Linked DNA regions of Saccharomyces cerevisiae S288C. Changing the gene in region 1 together with any one later gene gives a genetic interaction. Each region holds a gene or a part of one and is shown in the gene's direction. Other genes may lie near its edges.

Region 1 (2,779 bases):
CATTGCTCTACACAAATCCGCAATTCAAGTGACAGACGCCAAACTAGTGGTACAGTACACTTACTGAAGCGCACCATGTATACCCTGATCTACATCTAGAGCTTGTTCAGTTTTTCTTTATGCTTTTAATTACGCCAGGAAGAAAACCGTTCTTACGTGGTGGATGAAATAGGAGAATTCGGGTTTCTGGGAAAACTTAAAATTTCTTGTTGGAAAAGTAGAAAGAAAAAGAAAAGTTTGCCTTCTGAGAAAATGCTACATATGGTAGAGACATCAATCGATTGCTCAACACGCGTTAAAAAGGGGAAAGTGATTGCCACTGTGATCACTTTAAATCATTTCTTCGTTCTCATTCTTTTCGTCTAATTTTCTTCTCTACCACTCATTATACCAGGCATTTTATCTACATCAAAATTTGTTTTGAATCGGATCATATCATGAATAGTACCGCCGCTGCAATAAATCCAAATCCAAATGTTATACCATTCGATGACACATACATTCTCTATGATTCGCATGACTTTCTATCATTCCTTAGTGCATATTTCTCGCTGATGCCCATCCTAGTGCTAGCTTTTTATTTGTCGTGGTTTATCATCACAAGAGAGTTAGAAGCCTGCATTGTAGCCTTTGGCCAATTGATGAACGAAATATTCAATAACGTGATCAAGAATATAATAAAACAGCCACGCCCCGTATCGTTCGGTGCGTCGTTCCAAAATGACACTATAAGATCCGGTTACGGGATGCCCAGTGCACACTCCCAATTCATGGGGTTTTGTTTTACCTATAACTCTCTGAAGATATACACTTCCTGGAAGAATCTAAACTTCTTAGAAAAATGCATTTTTTCTGGTGCATTGGCTTTATTATCGTTTTGCGTTTGCTTTTCCAGAGTTTACTTGCACTACCACAATTTAGATCAAGTAATCGTGGGATTCAGCGTGGGGGCACTGACTGGATCACTTTATTTTTTTATAGTTGGCATCATAAGAGAGCTTGGTTTAATCAATTGGTTTTTAAAACTACGTATTGTCAGATTATTTTACATGACAGATTCTTACAATCTGGCGCCTTTGACATTGAAAGAGAATTACGAGGCGTATTGGAAAAGAATAAATCAGCGATCTTTCAATGATAAATCCAAAAGGGATTAGGTTGAACATTTCATTTTTCTTATTTTTTCATCTATTTTAGCGAGGCGATCTTGAGCGTTTGTGTAACTGGATAAAACTTGGCAAGCTGGAGTAGTCCTTATTTCTCATAAAGAAAGCCGAAAGCCTGCTCTCCTACAGTTATTAATTAAGAACGCTCGTTTTAAACAGTTACTGTGTAAAGCGACGGTAATCGAAAAAGTATGTGACATCGTGCAAAAGAAGATAATCAAAACCATGCAGAACGTAGAATAAATGTGAGTTCTATCACTTGCGGAGATAATACCCTCTGACGCCGCGGGGCCGATTGTTCCACGGAGGGAAAGAATCGGCCCTCGGGTTTTACGAGAGCGCCGCGGGTGAACTCACTTTTTTCTCGAGAAGAAGTTTCCTACGGCAGAATAAGACCCTTTTCCACGGATAATCAGCGGAGCTTCTGGACATAATAGATGGTTTGTGAAAAAGCTTAAGGAAAGCCGCGGATTTAGCATGTCACCCACACTTAGATTACGAAAGCAAGGATTGCAGAAAAAAAGATGAGATACAGTTTTGAGGGCAATATATAAAATATATAAATATAGCAACATTCCCTTCTCTCTGTTATGTCCACAATACTTCTAAAAGTTGTAACATATATCTATACATAAAAACTTGTAACAAACATATAATTAAAACAACTAGTGACAAGACGGAAGTTATAAGTTATCTTCTCTACAGAAACAATACGTAATGTTACTCACACCAGCCAAGACTACAAGAACGGAAGACTCAGCAAACTCAACAGATGACAGCAGTAAAAGCAGTAATTCATTCATGCGTGCCATAGTTTCTTCCCTTATGGTTAAGCCCATAACATCTCTGACTAATACAGTCACATGCAGACAAAGTTCCCATCACAATAGCTCTCCAAGTAAAATCACAAGATATGATTTAATCAAAGCTGCTGCTGAAAATGACTTGAAAAGGAGTAAGTCTCAGGGACGAGAAAAATCCAGAAGAAACTCTAATCGTAGAAATAATGAAGAAATTTTTGTGGCCAATACTGCTTCAGAAATCCAACGGACTAAAAGTAGCATATAGCAACCCTGAGGTCAATGTGCTTAACTACTTCTTTGCATCTTCATTGTCTCTAAAAAGATTCATATCCTCATATCCATTCGCATCTTACTCATCTTCATAATCACCCTATGTACATATATATATTGTCATAAATATACTAATAATTAACAATCACATTTTAATATTGGAAGTTTTCTCATTTTCTTGCATTGAATTCATGCATCTGCCGCTCAGCTAGAAACAAGCGCATTCGTCTACCAACCAGCCCTTGAGACCCGAAGGCAGAATGTGAGAAATTACAATTTTATTTTTAAAGAAACTAAACTAAACTAAATTGAAATTGATAAAAAATATACATAAAAGAAACACAGGATTTATTTATTGTATTTTTTGTATGATCTATGTTAAAGTCGAGCTAGTTTATTCCAATTTACCACCCTTTCTTTGGATCAAAGCCTTTCTGTCCTTGTCCAAGTGTAACTTAGTGATAACAAGCTTGGATGGGTGCAAGTTAATTGGAACGGAAGCACCGTTGACCTTTTCCTTGGTGACCTTGTCAACTTGAA
Region 2 (2,615 bases), on another chromosome or scaffold:
GAAGTTTGGCACAAATACGACGTATGAATGCCTCATGTTCAACAAACCATTCAAGTACGATATAATGTGCGAGAACGGATTTATAAGCAAGAATTTTAACATGCCATCTTCAAACGCTGAAGCGTTCAATGCAAAGGTCTTAGAAGAATTGAGGGAGAAAGTGAAAGGGCTATACCTGCCCAGTTGCTTAGGGATGAAAAAATTGCTGAAATCGAACCACATCGATGCATTCAATAAGGCTAACTCAGTGGAAGTAAATGAATCTCTCAAGTATTGGGTAGATGGAGAGCCCTTAAAAAGATTTAGGCAGCTGGGCTCGAAACAAAGGAAGCATCGTTTATGACGTCCGCTTTCTCAGTGAAACAAAACGCACACACAATATACTTATGTACAGACAATATGTATGCTAATTAATCTATATCATGTTGATCTTGAGGGAAGGTAGTATCAATGTCTTCCTTTGGTGCTAAAATTTCAGGTTCCTCAGGTTCCTGTAAACCTGGGCGTTCCTTCTTAGATGCGCTTACACCGATCATAATCGAACAAACAAGGACTAATATTACCAAAAGACCGCTTCTGGTTGTCTGCCATCTTAAATTTTCGATATGTGACCTGATATCCCCCAGTATCTTGGTTTGAATCTTGTTAGAACAGTCGTTCAATTTCAGGTTTAATTGTCGATACAAAAGGGTGTTTTCTAATTTTTGATTGTTAAATTCTAATTTAGCGTCCTTTTGCAAAAGATCTATTATGATTTCATTCAGTTCATCATGGATTGAGTTAAGTTCTCTCTTGAGTTTTAATAATTGCAAGTGGTGCTCATTTAGTTGCGTGTCTCTAGAGTTTTGAATTGCGAATTTCAATTCTGTTTCTAGCGAGCTGAACAAATGTGATTGTTTATTCAGCTCCATATCCCTTAAGAACAAATCATTGTAACAGGAATAAAACTGATCATTTAGTAGTTGCAACAATAGAGCTATGATAATTTTACATTGTTCATCGGAAAAATTGCCTCTTTCACGAAGCATTTGATAAAACTTTATAGTATCCAATTGATTTTGTGAAGTAGTAGGTTTCAATCCATTGCCCTGAGTAATAAAGTCCTCTGAAAATCTGTCTAACAGGCCAATGGAGTGCTTTCCTTCGTTTTCCTTCTCTGGCTTCTCCTGCTTCTCCTTGTTCTTGGATAATGGCGATGAGGATAGGTCTGATAACTGGATATTTTTCAATGACATTGATTTCTGCAAAAGTGGTTTTGAATACGAACTAAAGCACCGCAAACACAACAACGAGCCTTGCCGCCGTATTCTAGTTTTGAAGCATCGAAGCGGCAATGTACGTATTAACCGCATCATTAGTCTATTAGATGTTCAGAGTTTACATGTATACATAAACCTCTTCCATTCTTCCTTTATCGATAAAATTACTATACACTTAACTAAACTGTGCATTTTCCCCGGACTACCATAGCGCGCTATACGTTCCTAGAACGGATATGAGTTTATATATAAGTCTATGCTACCAACCTACAAGCTATGCGACCCTGGAAAAAGCGCAGAAGAATCCGAGACTAGTAAACTATGATGAGGGGAGCGAGTAAGAGGTCAATCAGCAGTGCCGCAGTGCTGCTGATTAAAAAGAACAAGCTACCACCGCGACCAAAGTTCACGCCAGAGATGGAAGCACAATGCACTGAGAAATTCCTTCATGGCGGCAGAGGGCCCGGTGGCCAAAAGATTAATAAGTGTAATTCTAAGGTACAACTACGGCATGAACCCACTGGGATCGTTGTCGAGTGCCAAGAAACGCGGTCACGTGAGCAAAATCGAAAGCTTGCCCGGCTTAAGCTCGCGCGCGAACTTGCGGCGTCGTACGACACGATGCCGTCCAGAGAGGAGGCGCTTCTACAGTGGCACCGTCAACAGAAACGCTCGCAGCGCCGGCGCAGCGTCGCGAAGTACGAGCAGCGTGAAGAGGCCGCTCGAGTCGAAAAAGAGGAACGCGAGGCCCGAGACAGAGAAATGGTGCGCGAGTTATTCCGCCGGTAACCGCAGGTGAAATTAGATGGAGGAGAAAAGAAAAAAAAAAATGAAAAAAAAAGTGTAACTTTGCTAAAATTTTCACCTGCGGGTACCGTCGGTCAAGACGTGGGTTGCGAACAAAAACCCTGGAACAACAATACATTGAATAGTTCCTGCTCCTGCACACTGCACGTTGAGACCTGAATCGCATCGTGTGGTGCTTATACGCTAATCTTTGTTAGCGGACATACTTTTTCTTTTTCTTTTCGCCTTTTCTTAGTATCTTTCTTGGATTCTTAACTATTTTGCTTTTTTTAGTCATTCATTATATATGGTTCTTTAGATCGGTCGTTCCATTAACATTTTTTTTTTTTTTTTTTTACACGTCAATAGTATAACTTACTCCCCACCATTTTTCCACTCTTTCATAAAGACAAGTGTATTTCACGTACTCATAATCTTCGGGCTAACTACCAACAATACACGTAAATAATAATGGGCCGTCCAAGGAAGAATGTTAGCCAGGAGAAAATACAACAGTTGAAGAGAGAACTGGAGCTGGCCGGTAACAGGACAGACGTCTTGTTGCAAGAC
Region 3 (2,814 bases), on another chromosome or scaffold:
TCCAAATTCTCCAATGGTACTCCTTTTGGCACAAAAGTTACTGACCTGAAACTCATTAACGAGGATGACTCCGCCCTTTTATTGACAGGTTCTTCAGACGGTGTTATCAAAATATACAGAGACTACCAAGATGTCGACACCTTTAAAATTGTATCCGCCTGGAGAGGCTTGACCGATATGTTATTGACACCTAGATCCACAGGTTTACTAACCGAATGGTTACAAATAAGAGGATCATTGTTAACAACTGGTGATGTTAAGGTTATCCGTGTCTGGGATGCGCATACAGAAACGGTTGAAGTGGACATTCCTGCAAAAACATCATCTTTAATTACATCCTTGACGGCTGATCAGCTAGCAGGTAATATCTTCGTAGCAGGGTTTGCAGATGGCTCCCTGAGAGTATATGATCGCCGTCTCGATCCAAGAGATTCCATGATACGTCGCTGGAGAGCTGGAAATGATAAGCAGGGAGTTTGGATTAACAATGTTCATTTACAAAGAGGTGGTTACAGAGAATTGGTCAGTGGAGCTACCAATGGTGTTGTAGAGTTATGGGATATAAGGTCCGAAGATCCGGTAGAATCGTTTGTTGATCAAAACGTAACTTCTCAGTACGGTTCGCAACAAAAACCAACGACAATGACGTGCATGCAGGTTCATGAGCATGCTCCGATAATTGCGACAGGGACTAAACAAATAAAGATATGGACGACATCTGGAGATCTTTTGAATTCTTTTAAAAACTCACATAATAATGGCGTAACAAGTACATTAGCCGCTACGGGAATCCCAAAGTCACTGTCCTACTCTTCCACTTCTGATGCATTTTTATCTTCGATGGCTTTCCATCCTCATAGAATGATGATTGCGGCCACCAATTCTCACGATTCTATTGTAAATATCTACAAGTGTGAAGACGAGAGAATTGATTATTTTTGATATGTGCCATTTCTTTTTTTTTCTTTCATTTAGCTGCAAAAGAGATATATATATATATATATATATAATCTATTATATAATAAAAGTCGAGTAAAAAATTGGTCTGATTGTGAATTTAACAGCTGGTCGCAAGTTCTGGAATTTGTTGTTAATTATTGTTTCATGTTCGTATAATAATACGATGTTTAGTAAAGCAGAAAGTTCAGAATATTAAAAGTCTGTTCCAATAGTGTAGCGGCTATCACGTTGCCTTCACACGGCAAAGGTCCCGAGTTCGATCCTCGGTTGGAACATTTTAACATCGATTTTTTTGTTTGTCATAGCCAGACCAATTACGACGTTTAGAGGCATGCACTTTGTTAAATATTTTTTCTCTCTCCTTCGACATATTTTTTTTCCTGTTTACGTAACATTCATCCCCAGTCTTTGTATCATTTTTTTTTTTTTTTGGTGATGCGACAGCAATTCTGGCCGACACAGTCGTTTTCAAAGAAAAACTACCACAAACTATGGAACATAATTGAAAACAAAAACATTTACTTATAACCTACATAATGATTGAAGATACTTCATTGATCTTTACCACCTTCCTCGTTGAAATCTTTTCTACCATAGTCAGTATTTTTGGGAATTTTATAAAAACGCAAATTTTATCGAAATGAATCAAGGTTACACACAGCTTTCCGCACCGGAACTGAAGGAGACTAAAACATCGAAGCTAAATAAAATGAACAACTTTCGAAGCTCTCCGATTGCTGAGATAATTAATAAGATACCACCAGATTGCGGGAAGATACAGAATACAACATTTCCTGAGTTCAATCCAGCGTTAAGAAGACGACAACACGAACAGTGGCCTGCATACGAAAAACCAATAAGAGTTACTGACAGTATGTCACCACAGCTTTCTTCAATCAATTGTTTGCCAAATTTGTATCCCCACGGTACGCTACCATTACCAAACCCTTATTTATCCTATTTAAATCACATTGAAAAAGTTAATTGCCAAGATGTCAAGTTTAGTAACTGGAGTGTTTTACATAATTCGAATAATGGATTTGAAATTCCGACATATTTCAGTCCACGGACAACACAAAACATGCCTTGTTCCGAAAAAGTTGAAAGCTGGCTTGAAAGATTACCAATTTTTGTGGGGTTCGACGGTTATTTATTTACAAACTGCTTTGATTATGAATATATGTTGGATTGGGAAGAGACAGAATTTACATTCGAGAAAACATCATGTATGGAGACGGATTATTCTAAAGCTTTAACCGATACTGATATTATATATATTCAAGAGAAAAAAATTGAAGCGTTGATAAGAAACCAATATCTGAAGGAGTATGAATTTTCTCAAAAAGATTTTTGAATTTTGAAGAAAGCCATTAATATTTAAATGTAATTTTGTGTAGAATTATAATAAATTGATGTTTATGTATAGATCTCTCGAAATATATTTAAGAATATATAAATAATAAATGTACAACAATAAGCATAGAACATGGAATGAGTGTTCAAACTATATTCGTTTGTTTTTTAGATAGGAGTTCTCCAGACGTTTTCATCCAAGTTTTGTTTTGCATCATTTAAAGCTGCAGCAAGAACTTTGCTTTCTTCACTTGCAGACTCCGGTTTGACTTGAGTTTTTTTAATGGAAAGATTCCTCAAACTAGCGGCATTGACATTTACATTTCTTTTCGTGCTTCTTAAAATCAAGGAATCATTTGATTCGAGATTCTCCTTCTTTATTTCAGGTTGCGATATCGATGGAACTTCTGCAGTTGAAGAGCTGATATTTTTTGCCTCTTTCTCTTCTTTTTCCTGAGCGAGAAGTTCAACTAATTGATCGGGCTCAAGTTCTTTCGCAGA
Region 4 (2,571 bases), on another chromosome or scaffold:
TTCTAATTTTGGAGTTAGTTGTACTGTGTGAAGCTTCAGTCCACACCATTCAAATTAAGGACAAGCATTTCGTTGACACAGTGACTGGAAAACCATTCTTCATCAAAGGTGTGGATTATCAGCCAGGAGGCTCTTCCGACGTTAGTGAAAAGCAGGATCCGTTATCCAATCCAGATGCATGCGCTCGTGATATTTTATTATTTCAAGAATTGGGAATAAACACAGTAAGAATTTATTCTATAAACCCGGACCTGAACCATGATGCGTGCATGACTATGCTCGCAATGGCAGGTATCTATCTTATATTGGATGTCAATTCCCCATTGCAAAACCAGCACTTAAACAGATATGAACCTTGGACTACCTATAATGAAGTTTATTTAGAACACGTTTTCAAGGTTGTCGAACAATTTTCTCATTACAATAATACTTTAGGATTTTTTGCTGGGAATGAAATTGTAAACGACAAAAGATCAGCACAATATTCTCCTGCCTATGTCAAGGAGTTGATTGGAACTATGAAGAATTACATAAGCGCACACTCGCCCAGAACAATTCCGGTAGGTTACTCTGCTGCAGATGACCTGAACTATAGGGTATCACTGTCCGAATATTTGGAGTGTAAAGATGATGATAAGCCAGAGAATAGCGTTGATTTTTACGGAGTTAACTCCTACCAATGGTGTGGCCAACAAACTATGCAAACTTCAGGGTACGATACATTGGTGGATGCTTACAGGAGCTATTCCAAGCCAGTTTTTTTTTCAGAATTTGGATGCAATAAAGTATTGCCAAGGCAATTCCAGGAAATAGGTTATTTGTTTTCTGAGGAGATGTATTCAGTATTCTGTGGAGGTCTGGTTTACGAATTTTCACAGGAGGATAATAATTATGGGTTAGTTGAATATCAAGAAGATGATTCAGTACAGCTCTTAGCAGATTTTGAGAAGCTTAAATCGCACTACCAAAACATTGAGTTTCCTTCTATGAAGACTTTAAAGGAAACTGTTCAGATGGAGGAGACGCCATCATGTGCGGAAGATTATGAAAATTTGAAGATTGAATCTAAAATTGCTAAAAATTTAGGAAGTTCTTTGATAAAAAAAGGCGTGAAAGTTGAAAAAGGCAAATACATAGATATTCACGAGGATCAGCTGTCCACCAATGTCACGATTTTAGACAAGCATGGTGACAGATGGAATGGGCCCAAAAAGATTGAAATTAGGCAAAGCCTGACATTGGCAGACCTGGAAGGAGAAGAACAAGAAGACGCAGATGAAGACAAAGATGATTTAAAACGAAAACACCGGAATTCTGCCTCTATTTCCGGCCCATTGTTACCTCTTGGGTTGTGTTTGCTTTTTTTTACTTTTAGTTTATTTTTTTAGACTTTAATGTCGTTCTCCCTTTTTAAAGAGTAAATACATATTTAAAAAAGTGACTATGGCTATTGCTAAACGTGATAAAAATCAGAGCCTATAACACTCTCTGAAATAACGCTATGCAGGAATTTCCAGTTAAGTTCTTCTTGGGGTGACTTCTTTACTCGGTATGATATGTGTTTTATATGCACAGTACGAGTCCATTAGGGTAAATTAGTGGCCGAGAAACTTTTGCCGCCGAGCTTTTAAGTATCCTTTTGCCACTTCTTATTTAGATAAAGACCTGGCAGTAGTAGTCGTAGAAGATAAGATAGACAGAGAATGAATACTAATAAGATAGCACAAGACGAAGTCCAAGATAAGGTTTTGCAAAGAGCAGAACTAGCACATTCTGTATGGAACTTAAGGTTCAACCTCAGTAAAGTTGCCAAACGGATTCGCATGGAAACAAAGGTATTTCCAGAGATAAAGATAAATGACGCGCAATCACAGTTAGAGCGATCTAGGTGTAGAATATTTAGCCCTGACCTGGAGGAAGAACATGTGCCCTTGATTCAAGGCTTTAAATGTTTGGATTCACCCCCTCCCGTTCCACCAAGCTCATCGCAGGGGGAGGATGAAGAGAACACGGTAGATTCGCAATACTAGGAAATTAGAACCGAATCAAAATAGTTCCGATCCTAACTTTTCTACTAATCTTTGAGATTTTATCTCATTAACTCTTTGACCAAGCTATGAAATGCGTAAGATGAACTTTTGTTTGAGAGTGTTAAGTATTTAGGCGTCTACGCTATGATAGCCTCACTCTAGGACGACTGCTTTTTTGGAACAACTTGTTGTTCTCCGATGGTATATTGTGTGTTTATGTATTGTTCTACGTACTCCTCCGTCTCTTTTTCGAGGGCAACGCTTTGAACTAGTATTTTCCGTTATAGTATGTCCCCCCTATATGCAACCCCTTGAATGGACGAATCTCTAAAATATACAACCTTTTCCTCTATAGGAAACAAGTAGGGTCTTCTACGCTAAGGATTACATAACGCATGTATCAAAAACTGATTTTAATTGATTAATTTCAAAATGTCAGCGTAGGTTCACCTAGACTTGTTTTATAGCTCCATTCAACTGGCGGTAGACACAACTAAAGCCAAAAATTGCCTAAAAATTTCAGTACTCTGGCAGCATCTAC

Evidence for each region.
Region 2: mutations in YGR035C (region 1) and RSO55 together harm fitness less than expected from each alone (positive genetic interaction), as found in Saccharomyces cerevisiae (one large-scale study listed by BioGRID).
Region 3: mutations in YGR035C (region 1) and PFS1 together harm fitness more than expected from each alone (negative genetic interaction), as found in Saccharomyces cerevisiae (2 studies listed by BioGRID).
Region 4: mutations in YGR035C (region 1) and YOL131W together harm fitness more than expected from each alone (negative genetic interaction), as found in Saccharomyces cerevisiae (one large-scale study listed by BioGRID).

What each region holds. Positions count from the first base shown.
Region 1 is NC_001139.9:556,527-559,305, reverse strand, and holds YGR035C (uncharacterized protein), read left to right. Parts: upstream 1-1,883; coding exon 1,884-2,234; downstream 2,235-2,779. Other genes in the region: CAX4 (dolichyldiphosphatase), read left to right, coding at 438-1,157; YGR035W-A (uncharacterized protein), read right to left, coding at 1,520-1,741; 60S ribosomal protein uL24 RPL26B, read right to left, coding at 2,634-2,779.
Region 2 is NC_001144.5:703,926-706,540, reverse strand, and holds RSO55 (Rso55p), read left to right. Parts: upstream 1-1,580; coding exon 1,581-2,048; downstream 2,049-2,615. Other genes in the region: ECI1 (dodecenoyl-CoA isomerase), read left to right, coding at 1-343; PUT7 (Put7p), read right to left, coding at 411-1,355; YLR278C (uncharacterized protein), read left to right, coding at 2,517-2,615.
Region 3 is NC_001140.6:474,127-476,940, reverse strand, and holds PFS1 (Pfs1p), read left to right. Parts: upstream 1-1,600; coding exon 1,601-2,314; downstream 2,315-2,814. Other genes in the region: ubiquitin-binding TORC1 subunit KOG1, read left to right, coding at 1-942; SSP1 (Ssp1p), read right to left, coding at 2,482-2,814. UniProt on the Saccharomyces cerevisiae protein: Involved in the pathway that organizes the shaping and sizing of the prospore membrane (PSM) during sporulation. Required to localize MPC54 to all four spindle pole bodies, and localize DON1 and SPO14 to four prospore membranes.
Region 4 is NC_001147.6:71,328-73,898, forward strand, and holds YOL131W (uncharacterized protein), read left to right. Parts: upstream 1-1,703; coding exon 1,704-2,030; downstream 2,031-2,571. Other genes in the region: GAS4 (1,3-beta-glucanosyltransferase), read left to right, coding at 1-1,388.